Coturnix japonica: one gene and its partner. The protein of the gene in region 2 interacts with the protein of the main gene of each other region in a pairwise test. Links are inferred from orthologs where the notes say so. Each region holds a gene or a part of one and is shown on either strand. Other genes may lie near its edges.

The links.
Region 1: the proteins of BANP (region 2) and L3MBTL3 interact in binary tests that used the Homo sapiens proteins (3 or more experiments, as listed by UniProt). The two-hybrid records come from large-scale screens. The link is inferred for Coturnix japonica from reciprocal best matches to the Homo sapiens genes BANP and L3MBTL3.

What each region holds. Positions count from the first base shown.
Region 1 is NC_029518.1:52,547,068-52,556,842, forward strand, and holds the start of L3MBTL3 (lethal(3)malignant brain tumor-like protein 3), read right to left. Parts: upstream 6,396-9,775; 5' UTR 6,266-6,395; intron 4,936-6,265; exon of another isoform or gene 4,814-4,935; intron 4,500-4,813; exon of another isoform or gene 4,404-4,499; intron 3,298-4,403; exon of another isoform or gene 3,207-3,297; intron 3,115-3,206; exon of another isoform or gene 2,993-3,114; intron 1-2,992. UniProt on the Homo sapiens protein: Is a negative regulator of Notch target genes expression, required for RBPJ-mediated transcriptional repression. It recruits KDM1A to Notch-responsive elements and promotes KDM1A-mediated H3K4me demethylation.
Region 2 is NC_029526.1:16,029,240-16,038,780, reverse strand, and holds the start of BANP (protein BANP), read right to left. Parts: upstream 5,889-9,541; 5' UTR 5,775-5,888; intron 1-5,774. UniProt on the Homo sapiens protein: Controls V(D)J recombination during T-cell development by repressing T-cell receptor (TCR) beta enhancer function. Binds to scaffold/matrix attachment region beta (S/MARbeta), an ATC-rich DNA sequence located upstream of the TCR beta enhancer.

The sequences.
Region 1 (9,775 bases), on a different chromosome or scaffold from region 2:
TAAAAGAACAGAAGGGAGGGACACCATCCAGAGTTCTTGAACAGGCTTGAAAAGTGCGCCCACATGAAATTAGTGAGGATGAACAAGGCCAAGAGCAAGGTGTTGCACTTGGGTTGAGGAAATCCTAGATATGCGTACAGACTGGAAGAAGGATGTATTGAGAGCAGCCCTGCGGACTTGGGGGCCCTGATTGACAAAAAACTGGACGTAAGTCAGTAGTGTGCTGCTGCAGCCTGGAAGGCTGATGGTATCCTGGGCTGCATCAAGAGGGGTGGCAAGCAGGGCAAGCAGGTCCAGAGGAGGGTCAAAGAGGTGATCAGAGGGTTGGAGCATCTCTCTTAAGAAGGTGAATGAAATGGGTTTGTTTAGCTTGGAGAAGACTCTGGGGAGACCTCATTGCAGCCTCCCAGTACTTGAAGGGAGCTTATAAGCATGAGGAGGACAAACTTTTTTTCACAGTCTGGTAATGACAGGACAAGGGGGAATGGCTTTAAAATAAAAGAGGGGAAGTTTAGGTTAAACATGAGGAAGAAATTCTTTACTTAATGGGTGGTCAGGCACTGGAACAGGCTGCCCAGAGAAGCTGGGCTGCCCATCCAACCTGGCCTTGAGCACCGCCAGTGGGTGGCAATGCCGCCCACGGCAGGGGATTGGAATTGGATGGTCTTTAATATCTCTTCAAACTCAAGCAATTCTATGATTCCATGATTGTATGAAGCAGCAGGTGATGAGGGTGAGGTCCAAGAGACAAAGAGAGACATCAAAGGAGGTGATATCCTTACAGCTCCTAGCAATGTCCCATGTGCCTTACAGGCATGCATAGAGCTGGAATAGCCAGTCCTGACAGACATGCAGAAACAAAGGCCCAAGTCTTTTTAGCCAAATACCACAGACTATTTTGGTCACCTCCAATGAGGAGACTTTTGGCACAGAATCCACAGGCTGGAGGGGATATACATAGGGGAAATCAAGCTGATCAGCAGGAGACAACATGTATCAGAACAGCCTCCTCTTTGGAGATGACCAAAGTAGATAAAAGACACTCATGCCCTACTGCCTAGAAGCTGGTGCAGTCCCAGCTCTGATACATTTGTCTTTATCTGCTTTATCACAGAAGTGTGGGAAAATTACCAGGGCTGAATCATCATACTGCTCAGGCTAAACACGAGAGAACTACCCCACATGGCACATCTTCCCTTTTATTTTAGACAAACCTGGGTATAATCTAGCTTTAAAACAGCAAATATAGCAAAGGAAGATCACTCATAACTGCAGCGCAGAGAAACCAGAATTACTTCCTATTCACTGTAAACCCACCAGGGTGAGCCCACTTTTCTTCTCACTTGTCTCTTTCTCATCCTTCCACCTCTTGCACTTCTTGATTATGTACTTCAACAACAACCACAACAGGAACAGTGCAGGAAACGATAGAACATTTTGAGGGTATCCACTACATTTTAATATGCAGCCTTAAAATATCTGTTTAATTCTTTTAATGTTCTAATTCTTCTAATGTTGCCTTAAAAGAAGTATCTGCAGATTACACACTTCCTTCAAAATCTCATTTTTCATCCTTCAAAAACTACTTTACCAGTTCCACTATTCTTCTGTGTGTTGAAGGACTATCCGAGTCAGTCCCACTACTTTGCCTGTTGCTCGTGAAATTTATTACATATAAGTTACTTTAAAGATGAACTATATGTAGGTAGGAATTATATTCACAGAGGGACCTAAGCTTAAAATTCTTTGCCCTCTTTAGCACTCGTAAGAGGAATTGGACCAGATTTCCTGTCAGTGTTGTCCCCTTACTATTATTTCCTCTTGTTTTATCTCTTGCTACTTCTCTGCCTGCTGCACTCTCCAGGGACACAGTGTATGTTCAGTCTTGCTTCCTAGCAGATAGGCTTAAATCTGTTTCCTCACAGAAGGAACCTGGCCACAGGCATTACAAACTGCAGACTGTGTTCTCTGATAGGAGTGAGCCTGCATCAGGTACTGAGAATGGGTTTCGGTATCTACAACTGAATCTGCTCTCTGCCAGCAGCTAACACAAGTTCCACTTGTAACAGCGTACCACTGGGTAACACAGTTACACACAGCTTTTGACTACTTTGTCATTTTCAAACATCCACAAAGCACTACAATACCCAATACTGACGCTATTCTATCAGCTACTAAAATTCACCACTAACAACTTCCAACTTGTTTATAGAGAATTTGTACCTCAGGAGCTCTGAGGAAAGATCTCCTCTACAACACCTCCATGACTTGTTTGTTTCCATCCCTCTCTGTGCAGTCCTGAACGGGGTCTTATGATGCTCACATACTAAGTTGGGAGTACAACTCCCAAATCTCGTTTGTTAACCTCTTCTGTTTCCTTGAATCAGGCACGGAGTGACAGAAAACTCCCATCTCATCCCATTTGGAACACTGGAGGCCCTGGGTTTGAATCCCCCTGTGGCGCAAGTGGTAGAAGTGCCGCTCTGCAACACAGAGGCTCGAATCCCGGGGGTTGGACTCGATGATCTCTAAGGTCCCTTCCAACCCGCACGAGACTATGATAATGTGATACTGTGATCTCCTTCCATTTGCAGTGCAGACATCTCAGGAAGAACTGTGATGCACCAAACCCTCACACTGCGCATCACCTGATGTATGCCAAACTGTTTGAAGTGACGTTAGCTCCCAGTGAGCCCCTCTGCACACTCGCACTCAGCTCATGCCCTTCTCCTCTATTCTGCTTGTTTTCATCACCCTGGTCTGCAATCCTTAAACCACTATTTCACCTTTTTTTCTAGCTCCTAACTACTGGTCGCTGCGTTTCTCCTTATCTCCAGTCCACAAAGAGCTCCAATTTCCCATTGTGATGAGTAGCACTACTACTGAAGCAATAAAAAGCTGTGGCTACACGCACACTATTACTGTCTTCAGTAAATCCCATCCATGTAATCCCTGGTTCCTCACACCCACTGCTTACATTCCATAATCCTACCTGTCAGCGGTATTAAAAAGATGAAGGGTAACGGGAATAACCCACAAACGCCAGCCCGAGTGATGCCCGAAAACACTGAACCAGCCAGAGGGAAAGGGCTCACTGCGCCACCATTTTCTAGAGAAAAAAAAAAAACCAAAACAGTACTACTGAAAGCAACAGCGGAGAAAAAACTCAAGAAATTAATAAGAACCATACACTGCAACAAACAAACCCAAAGTTCGCTACAGTTGCCCGGCTGACAACAAACGCCCTCCAATGAGAGCGCTGCGGCAGCCGCCGTCACCGGCGCGCTGCGTCCATTGGGACCGGCGGAGCGGCGGGGTCCCGCGGCGAGGGCGGCCCGGGCGGCACCGCACCGGCACCGGCACCGCTCGTGCGGATGTTCACCGGAGCTGCCGGGAACAGCTGAACTTCTGTGGGCAGGAACCGCTTTCCCGAAGGGGCTTCACGCCGCAGCAGGAACGTTCTGCTCTGATTGTGAACGCGAGCCGTTCCGAAAGCGGCGTGAAGTCGAGCGTTCGCGTCTCGAGTTGTATTTACACTTTCCACCTGATTGTTAGCGCTCGCTGCGGGCAGGAACAAAAAAGCCGAGCGCTCAGCCCGGCGCCTCTCGGAAACGAACGGAACAATGAGAAGGCGGCTCTCGCTCCGTGTCAGCTCACGGATCGCGCAGCCCGTCCCGCTGCCCGCGGGTCACCGCACGGATCCGCGCGTCACGGCCTTCCCCAACGCATCCCGCGGGGCCGCGTTTCCAGGAAGCGTTACTCAGCGCCTCCGAGCGCCGCGAACAACGGGGCGGCCGACGGCGGTGCGTGGGGCCGGCCCGGGCCGCTCCGAGCCCGCACCCCGCCGCGCTCGGCCTGGAGCCGCGCCGCCGGAGCGCAGCGACGCGGGGCCCGCCGGGCGCGGCCGCCGGCTGCCCGCGGCCTACCGCCAGAGGTCCCTCCTTGGCCAGTTTTGCGGCGTGTTTTGCCGCACTCGAAACTTTCTGGCGGAGAAAAACCCGGAGTGCTCGGGTCCGCGTTTCGCCGGGGCTCGGGCAGGAGCGACGAGACAAAGCGGCCGCCCGCTCCGACGGTCGCGAGCCGGCAGCGCTGGAGCGGAGGGAGCGCGCTTCTCCCGCCGCTCCCCGCCGTTTTCTCTCTCCCCCCTCCTTCCCCCCGGCCCGGAGCGACGGGAGCGCGCGGCAAGAGACGGACCCCCGGCCGGCGCGGGGGCGAGCGCGGTGCGAGCGAGGGTGGGAGAGGAACTGGGTGCCGAGGGTTCCTGAGGAAGTTGCACAACCGGAGAGGGACTCCGCTTGTTTACCGGGTCCTTCCCCACCCCCCCTCACTCCCGCCCCCCCCTCCCCCCGAGACGGGGATCCGGGAAAGGGCGGCCGGCTCCGCGTGGAAGGGGAAAATTTTACCTTCTCCTCCCTCCTCCCCTCCCCCAGCGAGGAGGAGGAAGAGGAGGAGGAGGGGGCGCGCTCTCTTTCCCGAGGGGGCTGCGGGATTCGCTCCTCGGCCGCTCGCAGCCAATCTGGACGCGCTGATCGCCCGACGGAGGGGTGCCCCTGCCCGCGGAGGGCAGCGCCGCGTCGCCCCCCACCCGCAGCAGCCCGGCCCCGCGCTCCAACTTTTTCTCTCACGCTCTCGCGTGCGGCCGCTCCGACGAAGCGGCCACAAAATGGGGGCGGCTCCCGGCCCCCACCCCGGCTCCCCCCGGCCTCGCGCTCCGGGCGGCCGCTCCCACCCAAAATAATAATCGCGATAATAATAATAATAATAATAATAAAAATCCCTCCCCCCAGTCGCGAAAACGCCGCCTCACACGCACGTTAGCGAGAACAAGTGTGCCTATATCCTGTTGTTAATGCACCGGCTGCGGAGACGGAGCGGCGGGGGGAGACGGGGCCGCACCCCCGGCGGCGCTCGGGCCGAGAGCGCGCAACTCGGGGCGAAGCCGCTCGCCGCCCGCCCGTCCCTCCCGTCCGGGCGCACACACGTGCGCGGCAGCGCGGGGCCGTCCCGCGGGACCCCCGGCGCCGCCCGCGGGTGCCAGCCGCCGGCCCGCAGCGGGCAGGGGCCGCCCCGCGCTCGCCCCCCGCCTGCCGCAGCGGCCCCGGGAGCGCGCACCGCACGGCAGCGGCGGGAGCGGAACGCTGGAGCCGAAGACTTTTTTTTTCCTCCTCTTAAAAAAAAATAAAAAATCGCAAGAAGCTTTTTTTTTTTTTTTTTTTCGGGTGTGTGTGTGTGTGTGTGTGTGTGTGTGTGCAAACTTTCCCCAAAATGGCGGAAATTGGGAGATGATTATATTTTAAATATCTCTCGCGCACAGGCACACAAAGTGCGGGAGCGACGGGCACGCCAAACTCTCCGCTGCGCGCTGAGCGCGGCCTTCGCGCACGGGAACCCGCGGCACATTCAACCGGTCCATCCCGGCCGCCGCCTGCCGCTTCCGACCGAAAAAACGGGGCTCTCGCACCGCCCCCACCCCCATCCCGCGCCCGCGCCTCGCCCCCCCGCGCCCGCACCTCGCCCCGTCTTCGGCGTGCGCGAACAAAGAGCCGGGCCGGGGGGGGAGCGCGGCGCAGGATCCCCCCCCGCCGCCCGCCCTCCGACGCGCAGCCCCGCGCGCCCTCCCCCCCCCCCGGCCCCATCGCGTTTGTCCCCGCGGTGCCCCGCGAGCGGCGTTAAATGGAGCCGAGCGGCGGCTCGGCGGTGGGGCAAGTCCGCAAAATGTCTCTCCCCTTCCCTTCCCCCTCCTCGCGGAGCCCCTTCCCCCCCTAAAAAAGGCCCCCCCGGCGCGTTTCGGCGGCTCCCTCCCCCATACGGAGCTCTATGCACATGCACATACGTGCGTGCCCGTGGCTGCGCCGAGATACGCGGCACGGCTCGATGCGCGTACTCCCGTCATGTGTTTGGGGAGAGAAAAAGAAATAGCAGGCACCTCTCTCTCTCTTTCTTTTGTTCCTCTTTCTCACTCACACACTTGGGGCGCTGGGAGGCACCCCCTGCCCCGGCCGCTCCCCCGCCACTTGCGAGTCACTTGCCCACTTTCCCCGGCGCGAACTTCCATCCCCGCCGCGCGGGTGGGGGGGAGAAGCCCCCTCCCTTCCCCGGCGGCGTTTCGTAAGGGAGGGCGAGGAGGTGCGCCTCTGCCTTTCTCTCGCTCTCCAACTTTCATCCTCACCTACGGCCGAACCCGACCCCGCCGCCGGCCTTCGGCCGCCGACGCCGTTCCCCGGCCGCGGCCGGCGGCTCCGGCTCGCGACCCGCCGCTCCTTACCACCCCAAATTCTCTCTCTCTCTTTTTCTCCGGCTCTCGAGTAGGTCCTGACAAATATGGTCCAGGGCTGCGGGCACAAGTGAGCATGCGCCCGCCGAGCCAGGGCTGGGGAAAGGGGAAACTGCCGCCGCCGCCGCCGCCGCTCGTTCTTCCTCCCTCGCCCGCGCTGCCGCTGCGCCGGAGCCGCACTCGCGGCGGTGGCAGCGCGGGCGAGGGTGGAAGAGCGAGCGGCGGCGGCTGAAGTCGGCGGCGGCGGAGCGCACGGCGCCCTGCGAGGTGCGGCATCCCCGGTTGCATGCCGACGCCGGAGGAATAATAAGGAGGCTTGCGCGGCAGCGCGCTGCTATTTTTGGGCTTTTGGAAAATAACGCGCTAAACCTTTTTTTCCCTTTTTCTTGTCTTCTCGCCGTCTTTTCCCCCGTCCTTTCGCCAAAAGGCGTGACGGGTCGCTGCCTGCCGTCCGAGCGCAGAGCCGAGCCGCTCGCCTCGGGATGTCACACGGGACCCGGCGGGGGGTGTGCGGCCATTCACACTCCTGCGCTCTGCTACGGCGCTGGGCCTCAGCCCGCTGCAGCTGGTCTGCAAATGGAAAGTAGTTTCACCTGTGCCACCTGCCCTCCATCACCCCCTGCGCTCACAATAGGAGATATTTTCTGTCCCTTGCCATTGTTTAGAAAATGCTACGAACGGAAGGCCCGTGGGTGTTTTTTTGTTTGTTTATGGGGTCGGACAGGGTGGGCTTCCTTCACCTAGAAGGAGGGCTGCAAAGCAACATTAAACTGAATAGAGCTACGCGAGGCCTAACTAACGGGTGAGAGGGAGGGAGGGGGATTGCAATCTGTTGTATATATGACACTTGAAAACATTTAGATACATAGATAGGTATAAGTATAGATAGATGTAGATATGGACAGATAAATAGATGAGAGAAAGAGGGAGAGACAGAGAGACAGAAAGTTTCAGGCAAAGTGTAAACCAACATGGAATGCAGTCATTATACTTACCAGAAATGTTTTATTCAGACCACGTGATATCTGTAAGATGGCCATATTCTGAAGGCGAGGATTGGCAAAGTGAATTAAACATTTTTAGTAGTTTGGCATGTTGTTACGTCTCTTTTAAAATAGCCCTCAGCCTCTGATTTATCCCAGTAATTATCAAGTCCAGACTTTCCCTTGAATTTACATATGCTTCCTTCTACAGTTACAGAGACAACTGTGGCCCAAGTTATTAAAACAGGAATAATGATAACCAGGAATAAATAATAGGATTAATTATCAACAGAAATAAATACATGACAAAAAAATGCTTACCTACAAAGTCAGAATAACCAAAATGTGGCTTATACCAAACCAAATAAACCTTTTCTTTGCTATTATGAGTATACACTATTTATGATGGGTATATACTGTGTGCATCCCAGCAACTGGGGCAGCCTTGCACTGGACAAAGGATAGAAGTGCCCTTCTCTGGCAGGAAGAATTGGCTTCCATTCACTGATGTACTTACATAAGAACATACATTGAAATATTTATGAATCAAATCTATGTCCATGCTTGTAACTTAGGTGTGACTTAGACTTCTACCATGCTATCCTGAGAGCTTCTATTTACTGAAAATGGTAACACTGAAATCACGTGTGTTCGCAGGATGGTGCCTGTGTGCGGCACATAGTATTATTCTATGTTTAACATCTCTCATGCCCATTCAGCTCAAATGGCATTGCGCATAGCATGCACTTTTCATTAATGAACATATGTTCATTAGAAACTAATTATGGAAAACAGTATTGACCTTATTGTAATAATTAGCAATAGCATATATTTAAACTCTTCTAGAATAGTTTTTCACAAAATAAAAGTGAAAGGATGAGAAAATTCCAATATCCCTCACGAACTCTTAACTGAGGAAATATATGGGTTAGAAACAAAGAATAAACTGTAACTGAAGTCATTCAGTGCTTTTTTGAAAGTCATTTCCTAATGTTATTGAAATATTTTTATGCAGATAGTTGCCAAATAATTAGATTATTCCATTGTAGCCTCAAATTTGCTGAGTTCTGCAGAAGACATGTAAAGAACGACGTAATTTGTTACTATTTAAAACACTCTTTAGGGCACCGAACATGTGCTGATCATTTCTACAGATGATGGTGGGGTTTTGGGAAGAGTACACCATACTCTGTTTTGAAGATGCACTTCTAAGCAATTCATGCATAGTTATTTTGTTTATGCTTGAAAAATCTCTTTTTCTTTAAAAATCTAAAAGATAATCACTGGATTTGTAAAAACGTGTTTAAATTCCAGTCCATCTGATCTTCCTATATATGTCATAGCCCCTCACAGAAATGGTTCCACATTTGGAAAGGATATCATTGGAAGATATATATGCTGAACATCAAAACTGAAACCCAGCTTTGGAGCTGGAACAAAGCTGTTCTGTTGGGTAAGTAGTTTCAAATGGATTGCTCTTTGATTAAAGGACATGGGAAATTAATACAGGTTCTTTCCATTAGTTGTGTCTCCTTCGATTCTTGCCCTAATCAGATTCTGGCAGCTCGTGATGTGTTCTAAACCCATTATTTTGTCAATAGCAATTTATTGAGTAAAAATAGATTAAACATTATTTAAATATGCTCTTTAAACATTGTTTCTGTTGCCATTTTATTTAATACCAGGCTTCCATGTCTATTCCAAAGACAGAGAATTCCAAATGCTTGTTTTCTATATGTAAGCATGGCATTTAATATGATTTTGGCAGTATGCCTAATGACATGTTTTGGAGTAGCTAAATTTGGTCTCCCTGTGAGTATTTTTTTGACTTGCTGAATAGGTATAGCCAAATTATGATTATTCTTCTTAGAGTATGCACATAAACATTCACATACATGCCTTCCAAATCCCATGTTGTGAATACCATTTAAGGTATTTAGGGGAAAGAAATGTACATTAATGATTCAGTTTGTAGATGGGGTTGACATCATCATGTGATCTAATAGTTCCTCTGTAAATACCTAAAAATAAACTAAGAAAATAAACAGTATTTACTATTTACTGAATTAGCATTTCTGGTATCATGATTTTTGGAGTACAGGCTAAGACACTTAAAGATGGTTGTATTTCTAGAAAGTAATCTGTGCATGATGTTTTACCATCGTTCTTCTAGCAACTTGTGCAGCTCATTGTGTGACCTTTCTGAATACTGGCAGTCACCTATCTGTCACATCATCCTTCCCTAAGCCAAACCAGAAGGATGGAAATTCACTTGATGGCAATCACAAGAAAGAAAATGTTGCATATGATACTCTGTTAAACTTAAAGCTGGGAAAACAGAAGTGTAGCAGCTTGAGAAACTGAAGGTGAGATGACATATGCGTTTTTCTAGCAGAAAGACAGGTGAGTTGCAATCCATGGTGATCCCAGTTTCACTTAATAGTGTTCTCTTCCTTCCCAGGGACTTGGTGTCCCCACAAATGTGAAGAAATTAAGACTGACCCACTACCAGTAATGG
Region 2 (9,541 bases):
CATTTACACAACGTTGGATTTCGCTGATGCTTTGTGTTGAGTTCTAACCAGCTGCGCCCACAAATACATCAGTAACTCATCAATCATTCCAAAGCGTTTCTATTTCTTTCAAGCCATTCTAATACACGCTTAGCTCTCCAAAACTCATCATAAAAATGACTGAGATGAATTAAATCTGCCTGCAACGCAGAGTAATTTCACGCTTCTGACCTCTGTTCTGCACCTTTCATGGGTCACAGCCCAAAGTCCTCAACCTCAGATCAGAAAATGAGCCCTGAAAGATTCTGCCAGTCTTTAAATAACAGCATGGCTACCAAGTCCTGATGGGGAAAACACCTTTGAAAAGCTTCAGTTTACAAATTCAGAACGATTTCCTCAATCCATTTCCCATGTATTTTACTTGTTGAAGTATTCACCACCATTTCCAGAAGCTAAATATTTCCTCTAACATTGGTCAGATACCCCAAGCCTTCCCCACTCACCCCTTCTGACCTCAAGCCTTGCCCCCACTGACTCTAAAGCACCCACAATAAGAACCTGATGATGAAACATTGCCTGGAGCAAATACAAAGTGATAAGAGAACAACACAGAAAGGCAGGAAGCTCAGGATAAGCCTCAATGGGGAAGGAAATGTGCTTGCTTTGCTTCCCCCAGGCAGCATGTAGGTTGGGTCCTACAGGGCCAGCCCAGTGTTACCTCACCCCCCGTTGATACACCTGATACTCTAGATTTAAAGTAGCCTTTGTTTAATGAAGTACATTATTATTTGTAAGCAGCTAAATCAAACTCAGGTCAGCTGAATTCTATATCAGCCCACCAGCGCGTGAGTTTAATTTAATTAATCCATTTTAAAACATTAATGCAGGATAATTCATCTGAGCACTCGCTTGCAAACGAAGCTATTTCCTGAAATATCTGATGGCTTTACACAATCACAGGGCACCATTCCAAAGCATATAACCAAACGCATCCAGTGACTTGTTAACACATGAGAACATGCGCTGAACATCAATCTTCTCTCGTGCTAATTAGTGAGGGCAAACACTGGATTCTTCCAAAAACACCAAACCTTTATTGCGCTCACAGCGTTTACTTGGACTTTTCTTATTGGAGTAGATCATTACTCCCATTGCTGGCACTTCTCAGCACTGATAGAGGCACAGAATCACTTAAGATCACTATGACCATCCAGTCCCATCACCACCAGTGCCCACTACATTGATAAAACACTTCCATCACCATTCATTATGTACAATGGCCATAACTGACCACCAGTTGTGCCATTCCAAGTGTTGTTCCTCTTCATTTGACCCATCATGCAAACCACCACCTAAAGCAATCAGAATTATTGGCAGCAGATCTGAGTTGTTCACAAGAACCACAGCACTGCCAGAGCTGCAGTGAGACCCAGAACATCAAGATGGGCATTAGACCTTCCTACAACAGAAACTGCCCTCGAAAAGTCAGCCCAAGGTTTGCAAACATCCAAGGCAAAGCCCTTACAGATGGGTCTCCTCTGCAGCAGGGGGTTGTGATTGTGTGATTATGATCCTATGATGTCCATTCTCCCCTCTAAAGGGATGTTTCCCCCAACAAGGATGTGCAGATGAAGCAAGTCTTATCGCCAGAGCTTTGGCCATGAACTTCTTTCCAGCACCAGGAACTGGCAAAGAAACTCCACTCTGGAGGATCCTAATGCCCAAGATGAGAAGGAATACACACCAAAGCTGAAGCCAACTACAACTGCAGCAATAGCCCACAGGTCTATATGTACTTACAGTAACAGTAGCAGCCAAATAGTAAAATAACAGTATAAAAAAAATGGAAATCCAACTTTAAATTATACATATATACCAAGCAAACCAATAAGGTATATAAAACGATTGCTAACTGATGAGCAAAAAGCCATAGAGAAGCACAGGTTGACTTCTAATGGGGATATAGAAACAAATACGAGATGGGGTCCATTTGGTCACCAAAATTTAGGATTCTTTTCAGTGTTATTTAAGTATGAAAAACTCATACTTACACCTTACAGTGTTGCTACTTAGAAACAGCAAGGAGCTGATGGAGAAATATTTCAACACACGGTAATTTAATGTTTGAATCCCCTTTGGAAAGTGGGAAATAAACAGCATTAACAAAATGGTGGCAACCAAAAATAACCAATTATAGAGTCAAGATGAAGAAATAGGAACCAGATTTAAAGGAAATGAGCACAGTTCTCAGTTTATGCCCTTAAACACCCAGTTTTCCCACTGCATCGTCCAGTTGTTTCAGTATCACAAAGTGACTTTTGTCTCATAAATAAGTCATTCTCTGTACTCAAGAGAACAGCTGACTGAAGGGTATCTCAGTGTATCAATCTTTCAGTGACCTCCGGAACAATGAGGTCTATTTAATTCAGTGCAATTATTGGCAAGAAATCTTGGGAGAATAGTATTTACTCTGAATAAAAGACATTACTAAAATCTGAGCATGCTTCGAGCCACCATAGCAGTAGGCAGGTTTGTATCCCAAGCTAGATAAGACCTGGCAGCCAATTTCTTCTTGAACATCCACGTTGTCTGAGCAGAATCAGAACATCTCACTGCTCAGATGAAACAAGAGCCCTGCAAACCTGCACTCCAGCCATGCACAACCAATGAGAAACACCCAGGTTGGGGGTACAATGCACTGCTCAATGGAAATCCCATTGGAGAAAGCCAAGCAAATAGAGGGCGATGAGGAAAGTCACGTCCCATACTGTACAGTGAACAGACAGCACTGTTAGGAAGCCACTTCCATCTGCTAAGCTCTTCCTCATGCTGGGCTGCTGTTGTGTTCATGCCAGGACACTGGGTGGACATCACAGGGCTGGGTTGTGGAGCACAGATAGTGAGCCAGAATTTATCCTCCTCTGATCATGTTTAACTCACCACGTTACAGCCAGCTCCTCTAGGGACAGAAAATAAACAGAGGCAGGCTGTGGGAATAAGATGCATATTTGAAGCTGACCTCGTTCCCTGATATCATAAGATATAGCACAGTCTTTTCAATGGCACCAGGATTCAGACTGGAAGCGCTAGAAATCGTCACTTTCCCTTTACAAAGTGACTTGGCTACAGCATTTATAGGCTTTGCATATACAGGAAGCACTGCAGGGCCAGCATCAGTGCTCTGCAATGCACACAACCAAGACCTCGCTTCAGTCAGGTATTTACAGACAGCTGGCTCAGGTTTAAAGGAGACTTGAGCAAACACTTCATTTCTTTGTGTTTGGCTTCCCTCAAACAGGAAGTTTATAGAAAAAAAAAAGGGAATAACACAACTTTGTATTTTTCCAACTGAAAGAATCTGATCTAGGGTAGGGGGGAAAAAAGAGCCAACCAACCAACCATGCTGCTACAGGTGCAAAAAAGCACAGCAGCCAACATCAGATCTAGGGCAAAACAAGCCACCTGCTCCATGTCTCTTACCACCTTCAAACACTTAAAACATCCAAGCTCCTGCAACAGACCTCAATGCTGCTTTAGAACCCAGGGATAATATCTGTTCATTCTTACAAATATATATATATATGAAGAGCATCACCTGAAGGAAAACACAGACCCTGTGCTCTTCTGAAATACATTACCAGTATGATCTGAACCTGTTTGCCATCATCCCTCCTTCCTCTAGCAAACAAAAGTGATTGCAGCTTAAGCTTGCACCAGCATATCTAGGTATGCTGGCAGAGCGTAGCAGGTACAGCTGTGTTTGGAAGGAGCGTTTTTCTTCACGGTTCCTATGAATCCACGCCAACACGGCAGAAGACGGGCATTCTGTCTTGGTTTTAAGATACAGATGCATCTGAACGCAACGTATGCTTCCCTCCTGCAGTCACGGCTTCCCCCTTTTCCAGCCATGCTTATACAAACAGGAAATGAGATGAAAAGAATTTGGTCCAGATATCATCAGAAATGACTTTATTTGAGGTCCCAGAAGGTTTGTGTCACGTTTGTGTGCAGTCTAACAAGCAGGAGACAGAACTAAGCACTTGACAGCACCTTTTTCAAGGGCTACAACTGCAAGGAAACAAGGGTTTGATGTGACTTTTTAAAGGCATTTTATTTTTTATTGTTACTTGAAGGAGCAGCACTTCACATTGAATGAATACGGGTAAAAAAAGAAAGCAAAAAAACAAAATGACTTCAATAGATAAGAACTAAAGACCAAGTCCCAAACTAAAGCAAAGAGCCGTACAGCTTTAAACCTGCTCTATATTCATGCAGCCACGGCTGGATAATTAAGTCATTAAAGGCAGCTTCTGTTACAGCGTAACAGATGATAAACTAAAACCAAAGAAAAAAAAAAACCTTGCAAAATATTTTCATCTCAAGCAGATGGACTGAGAACGCTTCCAAAATCCCAACGCCATCTTTCAGAACTAAAAAGTCTTCCTTCCCAGCACGTAGTAGTGAAAACTGAACTACTGCCAAGGAGCACTGAATGCACAGAGTCCAGTTTCAGTGCAGCTTAGTTGTTATTCTGCTCTATTCCCATGGACAACCATTCACAGGTGCTCAGACTCTCCCCACCCACATCATATCACAGCCGTGAAACAATGGGTTGAAAACAAGCAGGGCTGATTCGGATGGATGTTAAGCGAGCAGCCAAAACCCTACAGACAAATGGCACGTTTGCTCCTTGACATCAGTCAACAGGGCACTACACCCAAGGTTAAGAAGAAAGAAAAGAAGTATAGTTTTACAATGCTTTAAAAGACTTTGCAAACTGCTCTAATGGAAGCAGTCCACGCTGGATGTGGCTCTGGTGACCCTGCACATAGCAGAGGGGTTGAAACTGGATGATCCTTGCTGTCTTTTTCAGCCCATTCTATGCTAAGCAATCACTGTGCTGCAGTTACACCCCCCTCCCAATTGATTTCCTTGGGCTTTTTGTTTTTCCCCCTGGTGATCTCTAAATATAACCCTATAAATAAACCATCCCCACAGCGGGATAAAAGCGCAGCCTTCACTCCAAGTGCATCACTTCCCACAGTGCAGGACTTAAAATATTCTTGCGGTGCTTGCTTTTTGCATTAGATAAGAACGAAGGGAAGAAGAAAAACATTAAGGGTGAGCTGCCCACCCCCAAACAGAGCAGCAGGGGGTGGAGATGTGAAAAACCTTTCACTGTGCCCAATGACAGAATGAGGGGACTTCAGAGGGGACTTCTTCCCTTCAAGAAGGCTGCAGCCCCCTCTATGTCTGTAGCGATAGGGGGTGGGGGGGCTGCCCTTAAGAAGGCTGCAGTGTCTGTCGCGATAGGGGGTGGGGGGCTGCCCTTAAGAAGGCTGCAGTGTCTGTCGCGATAGGGGGTGGGGGGCTGCCCTAAAGAAGGCTGCAGTCTGTCGCGATAGTGGGGGGCTAAGGGGGCTCCACAGTCCATCCCACGACCCGAAATGGGAATGAGGAGGGACGGCCTCGGTTTAGAGGTGAGCAGAGGGGCTGTACACCCGGCCCATAGAGCAGCACAGAGCAGGCAGGAGGGGAGCGAGGCGAGCAGAACGCAAGGCCCGGCTCCAGAGCCCTTAGGCCGCAGGAGGAGGCCAGGCCTCAGCCTCCCCCCTTCCCTCGCTCCCCGCCTGAAAGCCCGCAGCCCCTCCCCCGTAGCCTCCGCCTCACGGCCCTGCTGCTCGGCCTGACGCTCTAAGGAACGGGAACGCTGCGATAAACGAGGCTCTAGGCCCGGCCTTAAGGCCCCCCGGGAGCTCGGCCCCAGCCGTCCGGCCGCGGGGCGCCGCGGTTACCGTGTGCGGTGCCGAATTCTCGTGGTGTTTGTCGGGCGGCTGCGATAATGGCGTCCTTCCTCGCGAGAGATCTCCGTCTCCTCACTGCGCATGCGCCGCCGCGCTGCGATCTCTCGCCTCCCGCCTGGCTCGAAGGCCCCGCGCATGCGCGCAAAAGACGCGGCCTCGCAACCGCCGCGCCGCTGGGAGAGACTATAATTCCCAGAGGGCAACGCGCAGCACTTGGGCACCGCCCATACTGAGCAGGCCGGGATCTGTAGTACTATCGGCTGGAGCGGTGCATGCTGGGAGTTGTAGTTCGCACACCGCAACGCGTGTAGGCCGCAGTGGCCTATGTGATGTCCCCATCTCAGCCTTATGCATCATTGCAATGATGGGGTAAATGCTCAGCTGAGTCCATGGGTTTATTTAGCCTGTTCTGTCCTTTCACAAGCAGATTAGGAAGTTCAGAGGTTAAACTCCTTACAAACTGACTTTTCCCAATGGATTATGTCATATTTTGCTGCACATTTGCCCTGTATCAGACTTGGAAAACTCAAGCAACCCTGCTAGAAAAGCAATGGTACAGATACATACAGTGCAGCACCTGCTGTGCCACTAAAATCCTTTGCTGTCCAAACCCAAACCCATTAGGATATGGGATATTGGGATGTTAGGATAACAGCCCTCCTGGTTCCTAATCAGTGCATTCCCTCCCATAGATTATTAACTCAGGTTCTGCTGAGGATCCTGCTCCTCATTGTAAAGCTACTCCTCAGCTAAAACAACACATCAACCAATATTCACTTGTGGTCATCAAAGTAATGGTAGGAAACTATGGCAGGATCCAGCTGATGTCTACGACTTTGATCAGAGACATAATAAAAGTAATATAGCAACTTGGCACCTTCTCAGTGCTTAAATCAGGACCAATTTTGACTATTATTTACAGCACAAACCACTTACTGAGGATAAACAGGTGTTTCCTGTGCTTCACAAAATACATCCTCTTTTAGCAAACGAGGTCTTTACTTTATCATGAGGTAAGAGATAGCTCATAAGCCAGCATTAGGAAGAAGCAGATACTCCATTCTGTTCCAGCTTTAACCCACTATATCTTGTTTGAGTGACAAATCAGCTCATATTCCAGCCATCCCCCTCCTCACAAAAATGAATAAGAACATCAGGGTGTCAATACATCATCCTTCTTTTCTTTATTTTATAGAAGAAAATACATTCTGTTGCCCTTCTGGCTTATCCTTCCAAATGAAATAAGCTCAATATTTCCTTGTTGTTTTAATTCCTCACCTTTTCATCCTTATTTTTCAGTCTCTCTTTAGCACTGTACGCTTATGCCAACTTTCCTCTGTCTCATTATGAAAAACCATTTGGTTCCAGGAAATATCTAGCTTATTTTACCTCCGTATCAGCGTTCACTTGCTATTGTTTCCTAAGGAAGTCGCTGGTTTTAGATGGTTTTTTGTGTAGATCAAGAAAGATCAGTATCTCGTTCATTGGTTTCCTTTTCTTTTCGTTAGAAGAAAAACCCACCATAGGGTCAGAGGTAAAAAATTAACACACTGTGCACACAGTTTTGCAGCTGCATAAGCAGTGGGAAAACAAAGGTTGCCAAACAAAGCATTTGTTTAAACAAGTGACTGGCATTCATAATGAAGTTCAGTGCTGAACATGAGTGTGGAAACAAAGGTAAGAAGAGCACAGAAGATGTGACCAGGGCAGAGATGTAACCACAGAGCATTTGAAATTGGAACTTGATTATATACTATGCTATTAAGAAAATAATAAAGGACTTGAAAATCTCCTGTTTGTTCAGTTTCTGAGTTACTTTATTCATTTTCTGTATATTAATTCTCATCACTGGAATGGCCTTCTGAGCACACCATGCGCTCTCCTGTGACACGGTGGTTTGAATCAATATACAATAATGGGTATAAATCACATTTTGTTGAGCCCAATTAATACTAATGTCATTTGTAAACCCGCTGCAGTGTTTTGCCTTATTGATAAGAAGCCTCTCCACTGTTGAAGCTTAGAATCAGCCTCCCTCCTGCAAGCACACACCTCTCATCCCTGATCTTCAGATAGTGTCTATTGTCAGTCATTTCTTTGATTTTTTGTTGGTTTCTTTCTTCTACAAAACCCAAGTTGGGCTTTGGAGGCTTTTACTCCTGCACCTACTCTGTGACTTAGAGCAAGATATTGACTTCTGCTCTGACTCTGATCTCACTTCTGTTCTAAGCACACCACATCTCATTTCCTGAAGATATTCCCAGTTTTCATGAATGAGGAAACAGAAAAGACCTTGAATGCCCAAAGCAGAGAGAAAAACACTGTTACCCATTTGGTCACAGTTCAAGGTATCATAAGGACATCTGTGCTAAGCTGAGAAATTAGGTGAGAAGGGACAGGCTTGATCTCTGTGCTCTCTCTCTTATTTACATACTGTTCAATTTCCATGTCTGCATCATGGAAAAAATAACAGGAATCTATTCCCTTTCTCAGAAATATGTCACTCTAAAAAGCTCTGTTACAACTTTACCCTTCACTGACCTTCCCAGCTGAGCCTGCTGCCCTTTTGCCTGTTACACAGCTGATAGCTTTGCTCAGTATTTGCTGGTTTGCTAGCTTTGCTACAGCCTGTGTTTATTTGGTCAGGTACATTATCATCACCAGTCTTTTTTACTCCACCGGCATTATCAAAATGTTAAAGGGAAGCTCATCATACATAACACTGTTAGAGGATTTTATCCTTTCTTTAGACTCAAGGTTGCCTGAGAATCCTGTTTGTTTACTCTGTAGCCCTCAGCTCTGTATCAGCTCTTTCAGATCTCCAGGCAGAAAGTGTTTCATAGCATCTATGTACCACTAATGTTATTATACTGAGTCCTAAAAGCAACAAGTTTTTGCTCCATGTTAGCTGTGAATTGAGCGTGGGACTTCACAGACGTAAATAAGAAAGTTCAGACAGCACATGGGAGGCTTATCTTCTGGGGAAGAACAAAACAACCAGATATCAATCCTCTCTGTCCAGCTTGGAGACATTTAGAGCTGAAGTCGGTGACAGCAAGAAATCTCTAGATTTTTACTTTTCCAGCTTTTATGAAGACTAAGTAAGCAAACTTGTATTGTGTGCAGTCCCACTCCACATACGTGGTTACCCACAATTAAGAACAAAACCAGAAGCTAGATTTGGAAGTTTCTTTGGCTGGCAATGGCTTGCTGACACTTCAAAGCAGGCAGTGGAGGTAATAAATGACGAGCGTTAAGAAAGACTCTCCTAAATAGCTGATTTTGGAAGAGTAAGTGGCACAGATAAGCTTATTGCTTCAGGGTACTAAGGTGGATTCCCCGAGCCTTGCACTTATGCAACCTGCAGGAAGAGATGACAGACATGCACGTATTTAATGAAAATATCACCAATTAAATATGTTTCTAACATAAAATACCACCTTTTGTTAAGTGGAGACAAGACATAAGTGATGTCTGGACCCTGAGGCTGATAAGAAGTCCTCATGACCTTGAGGAGGTTCACCTGGAGCATCCACCATCCTCCACCCATGGCCTAGGAGCCCATTTAAGCTCAAGCTTGAGCTTTTTGAGCTTTGCTTTTAGGACACTTATTTTTAGGTTTGCCTTTAGCCCTGTCAGTAAGAAGGACTTTGGACCCATGTTGTTGCTTGGCTTTGGCCCTGGCTCTTTTTATTCCTGTCCAGGCTCCCTGCTTGGACCTTGGACCCGGTTGTCTGCTTGTAGTGGACCTTCTTATC